3 linked regions of the Coturnix japonica genome follow. The protein of the gene in region 2 purifies or fractionates together with the protein of the main gene of each other region. This does not show direct contact. Links are inferred from orthologs where the notes say so. Each region holds a gene or a part of one and is shown on either strand. Other genes may lie near its edges.

What was found. Proteins that work in one complex are often made in the same cells at the same time.
Region 1: the proteins of CREBBP (region 2) and SMARCB1 fractionate together in Homo sapiens (co-fractionation; 3 studies listed by BioGRID, with this or other methods). This does not show direct contact. The link is inferred for Coturnix japonica from reciprocal best matches to the Homo sapiens genes CREBBP and SMARCB1.
Region 3: the proteins of CREBBP (region 2) and ATXN3 purify together in Homo sapiens (affinity purification with western blotting; 3 studies listed by BioGRID). This does not show direct contact. The link is inferred for Coturnix japonica from reciprocal best matches to the Homo sapiens genes CREBBP and ATXN3.

The regions. Positions count from the first base shown.
Region 1 is NC_029530.1:7,048,747-7,052,862, forward strand, and holds the start of SMARCB1 (SWI/SNF-related matrix-associated actin-dependent regulator of chromatin subfamily B member 1), read left to right. Parts: upstream 1-1,316; 5' UTR 1,317-1,423; coding exon 1,424-1,516; intron 1,517-2,722; coding exon 2,723-2,834; intron 2,835-3,331; coding exon 3,332-3,361; intron 3,362-3,971; coding exon 3,972-4,101; intron 4,102-4,116. Other genes in the region: MMP11 (stromelysin-3), read left to right, coding at 158-415, 631-764.
Region 2 is NC_029529.1:11,012,138-11,015,816, reverse strand, and holds part of CREBBP (CREB-binding protein), read left to right. Parts: intron 1-711; coding exon 712-873; intron 874-1,137; coding exon 1,138-1,419; intron 1,420-2,793; coding exon 2,794-3,679. UniProt on the Homo sapiens protein: Acetylates histones, giving a specific tag for transcriptional activation. Mediates acetylation of histone H3 at 'Lys-18' and 'Lys-27' (H3K18ac and H3K27ac, respectively).
Region 3 is NC_029520.1:40,426,448-40,430,504, forward strand, and holds the start of ATXN3 (ataxin-3), read right to left. Parts: upstream 2,801-4,057; 5' UTR 2,713-2,800; coding exon 2,689-2,712; intron 2,554-2,688; exon of another isoform or gene 2,533-2,553; intron 946-2,532; coding exon 781-945; intron 231-780; coding exon 186-230; intron 1-185. Other genes in the region: NDUFB1 (NADH dehydrogenase [ubiquinone] 1 beta subcomplex subunit 1), read right to left, coding at 3,296-3,332. UniProt on the Homo sapiens protein: Deubiquitinating enzyme involved in protein homeostasis maintenance, transcription, cytoskeleton regulation, myogenesis and degradation of misfolded chaperone substrates.

The DNA.
Region 1 (4,116 bases), on a different chromosome or scaffold from region 2:
GGAGAACTGAATTCCTTACTCCCTTGGTGGGCATTCATGAACAGCTTTCCCTGGGAGCTCTGCCCAGGCACCAGCTCCAGTCTGCAATTCCATGCCAAGTTATCTGACATCTAAGAACTTCTGAACATGTGTTTCCCCTTTTCCATCTCCTTACCAGATTCTCAGTACTGGATTTATGACGGCGAGAGACGAGTCTCTGGTCCCACACCAACTGTAGAGCTGGGCCTCCCTGCTTCTCCCGTGCAGGCAGCTCTGGTATGGGGGACAGAGAAGAACAAGATTTACATCTTCAGTGGAGGCAACTACTGGCGCTTCAACCCTCGCACACGCCAGGTGGACAACATCTACCCCCGGACCATGGCTGACTGGCGAGGCGTCCCACAGGAGATTGATGCTGCTTTTCAGGATGAGCTGGGTCAGTGCAGCAGGGACAGGCCCTGCTCTGGGGCACGTGCTCAGGGTGATGCTACTTCCCACCAGACCCAGCTGTTACCACTCCCAATAGTGACAAGCCCAGCAGCTCTGCCTGCAGTTCAGCCCAGGCAGCAGTGCTGAACTGCTTTCAGTAGTACCTAGTGCAGACAGCTGAGTGAAGGCTGGCTCACTTACTCCTCCCTCTCTCCTCCACAGGTTTTGCCTATTTCCTGAGAGGCCGAGACTACTGGAAGTTTGACCCGGTGCAGGTGAAGGTTCTGGAAGGTTACCCCCGTCAGATCAGCCAGGACTTCTTCAGCTGCACACCGTCCTCCAACTCCTTCCGATGAAGGAGCATCCCCTACTTTTCCCTTCCAGCCCTGACCTCCAGCAGACACTGAGGGCTCTGCTGCCATCCCTGGCTCCTTCCAGGCGCAGACTGACACAACAGACGTGTCACAACAAGTGACAAAGTTTGCTCCTCTCCCGTTCCAGCAGCAGCCCCAGCTTTGGTCCCTGTACAGAAGCATCTGCCACATTCCTTACAGACACGAGCAGCCTTAATGTGGCCGGGCTGTTGTAGCTCTATCATCCCAAAGCCATCAGGCCTTGGAACGGGACCCCCCCCATAACACCGACCCGCCGCCATCACCCCCCGCGCTGTGAGGCCGCAGCCCCTCAGCCTGCCCCATCCCAGTGCTGGACACTGCCCATCCGCACGGTGCTCCCGGGTACAGAACCAAACCCGTGGGCGTCAACTTTTGTACGACGCGTATCAACTCTTTTTATATCTATATCTATATATACTGTGTATATACGTATCGATGTACCAATAAAGCGCCTCTTTTCTACCCGCCGCCCGACTCACTTCAGCGCCGGGTGGGCGGGAACGAGCGGGCGGGGCGGTGCCCTGCGCATGCGCAGAGCAGCAGCGGAGTAGGCCGAGGCGCTGCCGTTGTCGCTGCGCCCCGGTTCCCTCAGCGCCGCCGGATCCCGCCGGGCCGCAGCGATGATGATGATGGCGCTGAGCAAAACCTTCGGGCAGAAGCCCGTTAAGTTCCAGCTGGAGGAGGACGGAGAATTCTATATGATCGGCTCCGAGGTACGGACAATGGCGGCGGCCCGGGGAGGGGGGGAGGCGGCGAGGCGAGGCTGTGGGGTGGGCAGCGCTGTGTGGGAGCAGAAGGGCTTTGGTGCTGTGATACTGTGGGGATTGTGCTGTTAAAAGGAGCCATAACTGCAGGTTATCTGGCTATATGTGCCACACAGGGTACGTGGAGGAGGAGGGATCGCCTTCCAGCCCCCCGCTATAAAGTTACAATTAAAAATGGTCTGAAAGATGTTAAGGTCAAAATAAGGCCTGTGTGACAGGGAATGTGAGCCCCTTTGTGAACTATACACACTCTACAAGTACAGCAGCAGTTAAAAAACCTGGTCGCAGAGCCTAGAATTCATTGTGTTGTCCAGCGAACCCTGCTGGAGCCTGCACTGCTGTGTTGCATTGTGCTGAGAAGAGCAGAGCTGCTGTGCTGCTGGTCAGCGGGTTTGGAGAGGCACAGATCGCATCCTGCGTGTTCCAAGGGCTTAAAGTAGAGCACAAGGCAGCGCTGTGTGTGTCTGAGCCATCCACTCTTGGAAAGCAGTCCTGACAATAGCAGGACATGGGGAAATGGTTTTAAGTTGAAAGAGGGAAGATTTAGGTTGGATGTTAGGGGGAAGTTCTTCACTAGGAGAGTGGTTAGGCCCTGGAACAGGCTGCCCAGGGAGGTTGTGGATGCCCCGTCCTTGGAGGTGTTCAAGGCCAGGCTGGACGGGGCCCTGGGCAACCTGATCTAGTAAAGGTGTATGTTTGGTGGCCCTGCCAGGCAGGGGGTTGGAACTACATGATCCTTGAGGTCCCTTCCAACCCCGGGTCATTCTGTGATTCTGTGATCCCAGCGGTGTCTGGTGAAAGGGATGCTGCTGGAGAGCTGGGTGTGCAGCTCCATTAAATCCTTCCTGGACACTGTGCTGATGTAGCAAAGTCCCAAAAATAAACAAAAACTGATTTCTGTCAATGAGCTGGAGTTTCTTAGCAAACTAGTGAAATAAGTGCTGATAAGAGCTATGTATTGTGCCAAAAATTGTGCTTTATGATGCCAAACCTGATACAGTGAATTGTGAAAAGCAACAAAAAAAATCCTCTTAGGAGGTTATTTATGAGGTCACTGTTATTGTTTCATTATTGAAAATTTGTTTCAGTTTTTGATAATTCGTTTCTTTAAATGGAATACGTTTCCAGGTCACATCTTTGCTTTTCTTCTTATAGGTGGGGAATTACCTGCGTATGTTCCGGGGCTCTCTGTACAAGAGGTATCCCTCGCTCTGGAGACGATTAGCCACAGTAGAAGAAAGGAAGAAGATAGTGGCATCTTCACATGGTAAGAAGATGAGGAAATGCTCCCAGTCTAAATGTCTGCCTTGAAGAACTGTCTCTGTAGGCTCAGAAGCTTGTGTACCTTTAGGGCTTTGTGACAGCGTTCTGCAAAATGTGGCTGTCCTGGAGTTGGCTGCATTTATCACAATGCAAAAGACACACCTCAAGTTAAATACCATATTCCAGAAGAGATTTCTAGTAGCAAAGAGGGGTGGTTCTGTCCCTTAACACATTGAAAGGATGCTCATGTTCTTTATATGTTTATGACTCCCAGAATTTGCAGTGTGTTTCTACTGATGTTACCACCACAGTGAGAATGCAGCCACCTTGGTATTATTTTTGATGGGAGACTAATATTAAGAACTTATATTCATTAGCAGTGCAACTTGTCATGTGTTCCTCAGGCTAAGGCATAATAAAGATACGTGGTTCATTCTATACTTAAGCCTCCTTCCTCTAATATCCTGCTGACCTGTTGCTGATTTCTTTCTTTCCCAACAGAAAATCAGCGGTCTCACAGTCCAAGAAGATGTAAGTCTGATTTGTGTGTTATGCTTAGCTGTGCTACAGGAATAATCTCTGCCATGACCTTTGGCGTTATTACAGCATATAATAACATCTCATCCTCTGATCTCTCCCTGTGGTCATCCCATTGTGCATCCTCATCACATGCTGAACTTTTCTTTCTCAGAACATTAATGGTCTGTGCAATTCAGTAAGATCTGTCCAGTGGTTCTTCCCTTTTTCCAGGTCTTAAGAGTTTGTACTCCCTGGCTTAGCTTTCATTAGTATCTGATGTGTCTGCTCAGCCACTCGCTTTTCCATTGAGTGTTATATCTCCATTTCCACTATTAAGTCCACTGAGGATTTATAGTTTTCTGGACTGTGGAAAAGATTTTACATCATTGTGGCAGACTGTAGTTGTGCAGAGCAAAATGATGTGATAGTGTGGGGCTATTTAATGTAGGATTTTTTTTTTCCCCCTTATTACTTATAAGCTTATCTACTATTTACTATTTTAATGATGTGTTTTTTGCTAGTCCCACCTGCACTGACTCCACTTTTCACTGTTCAGCTTGTTTATGCCATATGCTATGTAATGCTTTTTCATGTTAACTATTAGCATCTTTCCTGGTAACAGATCATGGATATACAACATTAGCCACCAGTGTGACACTGTTAAAGGCCTCTGAAGTGGAAGAGATCTTGGATGGAAATGATGAGAAATACAAGGCAGTGTCTATCAGCACAGAACCTCCCACCTACCTCAGGTAACCTCAGTGTTG
Region 2 (3,679 bases):
AGGAGGCTTCTTTCTTTAATTTCTATTTTGTTTTTCAGGCACATCAATCTCTGTTTTCCCAGGTCACCCAAACAGCACCATCTGCTATTTTTCACCCTGCTTATATTTAGCATTCAGTCTGTGTTCACTGTGGCCTGTGCTGTGACTTACACACAAGTGAAGGCATTGAGTGTTTGGTATTTGGGGGTTTTTTTGGCGTTGCTGATGCAGCAGCACATCTTCAGGGTGGGGTGAGACATGTTCTGGTGGTTTCACATCCTGCCTTTTCCGTGCATTAACTCTCAGTTTGTCGAATTGAAATTAATGAATTAGAACTTGAGTGTCAAGTCCTGAGTGCACAGCAAAGCAAACGGCTGCACTCACAGGGTCTGTCAAAGTCTGTTTTATTTTTAACACATTTTATTCTGTGTAAGACTTGCAAGGACAGGCAGTGGAGCTGAAGCGCGGGGAGAAGACACAACTGAATGTATGTCTGTGCATAAAAAGAAGTAAAAACCTGGGCTATTTTTAAACCACATTTGAAATCTGTTTCGTGCTGGGTTGGCTTTTGATTTCTGTCCTGGAAGATGGGATGTATTTAGCACAGTGTGGTTCATCTGCAGGCACTGGAATGAAGCTGCATTACTGACAGCAGCTGCACCTCACTTTGTGCTGCAGTGAACAGGAGAGAGCTCTGTAAAGCTGAACGTCTTCCCCGTGTGTTTCTTGCAGGGAAGTCAGGGTGACAGCAAAAACGCCAAGAAAAAGAACAACAAAAAAACCAACAAGAATAAGAGTAGCATCAGCAGAGCGAACAAGAAGAAACCCAGCATGCCAAACGTGTCCAACGACCTGTCTCAGAAGCTGTACGCCACCATGGAGAAGCATAAAGAGGTACCGTCAGAACGTGCAGAGTGCAGGGGAAGCTGGTTCCTGTAGATGGAGGTGGGGTGGTAGAACTGGAAACCAGGAGGAGCTAAAGCTTTTGGTTACGCTGAAGGTTTCTTGTAGTCGTGTAACAACATATTGGAGAGATTGCTATAATGGTGTCCATTAGATAATGGTTGCAGCGTTGTGTTTCTGCAACAGAACATGAGCTTTTCCTGTGAGATAACCTGACGTCGTTGATTTATTGCCCCTCTTCCCATTTATCTGCAGGTCTTTTTTGTGATCCATTTACACGCTGGGCCTGTCATTAACACGCTGCCCCCCATTGTGGACCCCGACCCGCTGCTGAGCTGCGATCTGATGGATGGCCGGGATGCCTTCCTCACCTTAGCCAGAGATAAGCACTGGGAGTTCTCCTCGCTGCGCCGATCCAAGTGGTCCACGCTCTGCATGCTGGTGGAGCTCCACACCCAGGGGCAGGACCGCTTTGTTTATACGTGCAATGAGTGCAAGCATCACGTGGAGACCAGGTGGCATTGCACTGTCTGTGAGGTATGTGTAGGTCACCTGGGATGGCTTCTCACCCGAGTCTCCTCAAAATTAAGCCTGTTCTGGTGTTAGCAATGTGAAGCTTTAAGGGAAGGCAACTGCCACTGTGGATCAATCTCTTCTAGAGTAGGTGCCTTTGTTTTTCTGGATGGGAAGCTGCCGTGTCCTAGAATGGTTACAGCTGAATTGCTGCCCTTGTCATCAAGCTCCTCTGCACATCCGGGCTTCAGCTTATCAAGACAGAATTTCAGGGCTGACTGACAGGGTCTGACACTGTCAGAGTAACCTGAATCTGCAGGACTGGCGTATCCATGTTGAATGGATGACCACGGGAGCAGTTGGCTCCATGTTGTATGTGGTGCTTGGCTTTGTATTGAGTGCAGCCAGGCACATGCTCAGGCTGCTGTGCAGCTGGGAAAAGGGGCTTCCAATTCAGCCCAGCTTTAGAGGTTTCTTGCCCTTTGGATCAACCCAAATAATTGCTTCCTAACCTGGCTCTGTACTTCTGATGTCTGGCCCTATTGCAGTGGAGATCACTTCTACTGAACTGCATTAGAGAGCAATTACACGTGGAGTCACACGGGTGGACGTGAGGGGCAGGTCTCCTCCATGGGGCTGTTGGTGACCTCTGGCTGCAGCTGAACTAAAAACTGTTGAGTAAATGCAGCCTCGTTCTCACACTGGAAGTTATTGCCAGGCTTGTGGTTGAAGAGTCTTAATTAATCCCTCCGAGGGGAGCACTGAAGAGGGCTTCTTGAGGCAAGGCTGGAATTAAGTGGTGAAAGGAAGTGTGGCCATTAGGTTTCTTCTGGCTGCTTCTGTGTGAGGGGAATTGTCTTCCTCTAGCAGTCAAATAAAGCACTCAGGGCAGTGAGAATGGGGTGTTTGAGGAGGTTTTTAGCTAAGTGTCCGTCTTGCCATGAAACTGGCACTTGCTTCAAGGGCTGTCTTAGAGATTAAAAAACACATTGCAGGTCAGGAATTAATTGTTAGTCAGTAATTACACCAAGGATAGTTAAATGGAGAGCAGATCCTTGGTTCTTAGCACTTAGGGTAGAGCTGTTTGCACTGTTTTGGCTCTCCTTGTGTAACTTGTCTGGTAGCCATTCCAGAGATGTAAAATTTACCATCATCAAAAAGGAAGGAAAAAACCCAGCAGACCAAACCCTGCAATGTATGGAAGCGACGGCACAGAAGCGGTGCCTGATTGCATTCTTGCCCTCAGTGGAGCCTGGGACTGTCTTGCTTCTGTTGGGCCATGTTTGTGCCCACTGTAACCCAGATGTGCTTCCACATCGGGTTCATGTTTCTCCTCCCTCCTAGTGCCGCAGGTAGCACTTCACAGGCAACTGAGCTCTGCATTTTCTTTGCTTTCAGGACTACGACCTCTGCATTAACTGCTACAACACTAAGAGCCATGACCACAAGATGGTTAAGTGGGGCCTGGGCCTGGATGATGAGAGCAACAGCCAAGGAGAGCAGCAGTCAAAGAGCCCCCAGGAGTCGCGCCGGCTGAGCATCCAGCGCTGCATTCAGTCCCTCGTCCACGCCTGTCAGTGCCGCAACGCAAACTGCTCGCTGCCATCCTGCCAGAAGATGAAGCGGGTTGTCCAACACACCAAGGGCTGCAAGCGCAAGACCAACGGCGGCTGCCCGGTGTGCAAACAGCTCATAGCTCTTTGCTGCTACCACGCCAAACACTGCCAAGAGAACAAATGCCCCGTGCCATTCTGTCTCAACATCAAACACAAGCTCCGGCAGCAGCAGATCCAGCACCGCCTGCAGCAGGCCCAGCTCATGCGCAGAAGGATGGCGACCATGAACACCCGAAACGTGCCTCAGCAAAGTTTGCCTTCTCCTACCTCAGCAACGCCTGGTACCCCCACACAGCAGCCAAGTACGCCGCAGACACCGCAGCCTGCTCCCCAGCCCCAGCCTTCCCCTGTAAGTATGTCACCGGCCGGCTTTCCCAGCGTCTCCAGAACTCAGCCCCCCACCACTGTTTCGACAGGAAAACCCACAAACCCGGTTGCGGCGCCTCCACCTCCTGCTCAGCCGCCACCGGCCGCAGTGGAAGCGGCTCGGCAGATCGAGAGAGAGGCCGCCCAGCAGCAGCAGCAGCTCTACAGGGTCAACAACATCAACAATGGTTTGCCCCCTGGTCGCCCGGGGCTCGTAAACCCGGCGGTGGGTTCGGTGAGCCAGATGCAGCAGGTCGGCATGAATGTACCGCGGCCCAACCCCGTCAGCGGCCCGGTGATGT
Region 3 (4,057 bases), on a different chromosome or scaffold from region 2:
ACTACCCTAAAGAACAAACACAAGTCACCACTGCTCTTAATGTAATTCAAGATTCAAGTCTAACCATTAATGTCATTAAGCCTATAAAACAGAAACTAGATAATAGGTCAATGTCATTTAAATTGTATGACAACACATACATTCCATAAAGAAGAAAAAAATTGCCAGTCTAGGGCACATCTTACTTGAATTGAGAAGAATCCACTGTCATCCATGTTTACAGAAGGCTGCTGCTCAGCATATGAGGTTGGAGGAAGGAAAGTTAAAAGTTGTGTCAGCATAAAAGTTCAGAAAGAATTTCACTTAAAAATAATAATAATAATAATATGACTGTACATACATAAAACAACAATGAAATATATTTTACTCTGTATGCTGATTACAACACCAACATTTGCATTTTTGTTAATAACTCAAACTTTTAAGCTGCAAATACTTACTGCTTAAAGGACAGACATGTACAGGGAATTCTGTTACCGTCTCTACCCCTGGCTTACTAAAACAAACAGTCAATCTCTTAGTCTTCTCCTTGCCATGCCTAACCATCTTACCCTTAAGATGAGGAGATAAGGTAACACGGCCCCCTGTAGAAGCACTATAAAGCTGTACAAATAACACTAAAAACCTCAAACCTGAAATGCCTGAATGAAAATATCAGCAAACTTCCAAAACATCAGCACTAGAAAATGAATCTTCTGTAATTATGCAGGCATAGCAGGCCTTTGCTATACAATATTAGATTTTAAGAAGACATCATGCAACGTCAAGTTAAGATTTTACCTGTAAAAATGTTCTATATTCTTCGCTAGACACTCCTCCCTCTGCCATTCTCATTCTTTCTTCCTCATCCAACTGCTGTGCAATGGAGGATAGCTCAACCGGACTGAAGTACTCTCCTTGTAGCAAATTATTCAGACAGTGTTGAGCACATAATGAGCCTTCTTGCTAATATTAGGAAAGGAAAAAAACACCACTATGTCAAAAGCAATAACATATAGATGTTAATGACGCACTCTGCAGAAACATTCAATGATTTCATTCCAGCCCCCACTTCCCAGAATACTGTATTTTTTTCCATTTTTATTACAGTGTGAGCTGTAGAATACATTCCTATGTTCCATTAATCTGACGATGGAAAAGAAAACAAACATATTTCCTGGAAGAAAATAAATTCTAAGTGAAAATGTTTTGGGAAACAGGGTAAAAATCACCTACAGTTTGTCCAAGTCACACAAGTACTTTGCAACCATCAGGAGAATCGATTCCGCTCCCTTCAAATCATCACTGTATGAAATAAGAAACTCATTCTTTTCTTTTTTAAATCTCTAATTCCCATTAACAAATATTCTCCACAAGGGACACTCTTTTTCTTTGTTAAACTTGTGTTCCCTATGAGGTTTGGGAAATATCTGCTTTCCACATGTGGCTAAAGAAAAACAGAGCATTGAGACTTTGCAAAAAGAGGAATTACAGTTTCCCATGAAAAACAATCCCTCTCTAAAAAATAACAGGCGAGTTAGTTAACCTACGAGTGCAAGACAAGTTTAACATCAGCTATAAAAAGCAGCTTTCCTCTTTGCATCAATGCTTGTTTATATTAACATTAAGAATGTGCATTAGGACAAAGGTGTTGGAAACAAAACAAAATTGTCAAAGAATTAAAACTCCACAGAAAGTAAAGAATACAAGAGTGTGCCTTGTAAGAATGTTATTTAAATGTCCACTCTTCCATCATACAAGTCAGGTGCACAAATCTCCCTTGGTCTCCCTCACAGCAGGATCCCTGAAACTTTATAGATTACAATCCCTTCTGAAGGTACCACCACTCAACTGAATATTGAGTTCAAGCTGGACAGGCTGTACAGCCTAAGTACAATGGAATTCAAAAGTCTCATCTTTCACAGCTTCTCCAGCTTGTGTTTATCCCACAAAAAGAAACTCCAGACTAAACAGCAACTCCTGCCCTGCTGGAAGCACGTTCCTGCTGCTGGCCCCATGACACAGCTGAGACCTGCCAATGGTCACAGATTGTTTCCACCAGAAGCATATGAAATAATTAGGAACAAATCAAGCCTGGGATAACTTTGTTAAAATGAGTCATGTTACAAGTTTAGGCTCTAATTTCTTTGAAAGGGCCCTTCTGTACTGATGTAATAACTTATTAAAAGCAACAACAAAAACCCACTGAACTGTACAGCTAACTCTATTTATTTGTTAACTAAACCAACTACTACGCATAAGAACAACGGACAGAAACCAGTATCACCTAAACAGATCCCACAAAACAATACAAAAATATCAGCAAAGCTGCAGAGTGACCGGCAAAGCAGATAAAGGGCACTGTAGTGTAACAACAGAGGTCGCAGGCAGCTGCTACGTGTGAGCCCTGACACAGCACAGCAGTTTCCAGAAGCATTTGTTCTCCCAACAGGAAGCTCAGCTCAGCTCAGCACTCGATGCCGTCCCTCACAGCGCCGCACACCCACAGCGGGCAGATTTGGTGTCCGAGCTCACGGAACCCGCCCCACGTACCGCTGCTCGCCTTCCTGCTCGGCCACAGACGAGAAGCAGCCCCGCCGGAGATGGGGCAGGGGAACAGGGCAGCCCCAGAGCAGCGCAAGGCCGGGAGATACAACTGCCGCCTCCCCAGAGCGCAGCCCCGCTCCCGCCCCACAACACCTCACTCACCCGCTCGTGGAAGATCGACTCCATGTTTATTATCAACGGCACGGCCTCCGCCTCACATGACCCGCGCAGCCAATCGCGGCTCGCCTCGCCGTGCCGCAGCAGCGCCCCCTGGCGGCGGGAGGTCCGGGCAGCTCGGCAGCACGACGCGCTTGCGCAGTTCTGGAGCAGCCGGAAACGTGCGGTCCTTCCTTCCGTGTGGCGGTGAGTTAATAAAGCGCCATGTGTGAGGTACCGCCTCGGTTAGCTCATAAACCACCTATAAACGCATTAATTCCACACCACACAGACTAAGAAAAAAGGAAATTATTTTTGCATAGTTTTTTTTTTTTTTTCTTTATTACATGACGTCTTTTCTCCCCCAACTCCAGAGCGGAACCTCTGGGGGCAGATATTTCTCAATTCCATGGGCTTCACAGAATCAAAACAGCTTTATAATAGATCACCTTCCATAAAGTAACAATAGGAATTAAAGTAGCAGTGACAAACTGTAGGTGTTCTATTCTGTAGCTTGGTAGGGTCTCAGGAGAAAAAACATAACCATATTGTTTCAATGCATGAGATCAGGTGATGAACAGAGCAGAAAGTTTCCCCCATTCATTAGCAGCCTTTATTTCCAGGTCTTTTCTTCGCCGGGTCTCAGCTCCCTGTGTGGAAAGAAAACAAAGGGTGGAGGCTAAAATTAGGATAAATGGTGTGGGATAATTAACAAGCATTTAAAATGATTCTAGAATCACAGAATCACACAGAATCACAGGATGACCCGGGTTGGAAGGGACCTCAAGGATCATGTAGTTCCAACCCCCCTGCCTGGCAGGGCCACCAAACATACACATTTACTAGATCAGGTTGCCCAGGGCCCCATCCAACCTGGTCTTGAACACCTCCAAGGACGGGGCATCCACAACCTCCCTGGGCAGCCTGTTCCAGGGCCTAACCACTCTCCTAGTGAAGAACTTCCCCCTAACATCCAACCTAAATCTTCCCTCTTTTAACTTAAAACCATTTCCCCATGTCCTGCTATTATCAGCCTTTTCGAAGAGTTTACTCCCCTCCTGGGAGTAAGTTCCCTTCAGGTACTGAAAGGCTGCAATGAGGTCACCCCGCAACCTTCTCTTCTCCAGGCTGAACAAACCCAACTCCCTCAGCCTGTCCTCATAGGGGAGGTGCTTCAGCCCCCGCCCTCCTAAACTTTTACTTTACGACCCAAAGCTTCAAAGGATTGAGTCCTACCATTAATTATAAATAAACCTCTGCTGAGTTAACAGATGGTGTTTCTTACATGAGACCCCAAAGGCAAAAATCTAACTCCTTCCAATCCAAAAATCCATTGCTTTAGTGGGAAGACAAATAGAGGCGAAAGTGGAAAGCG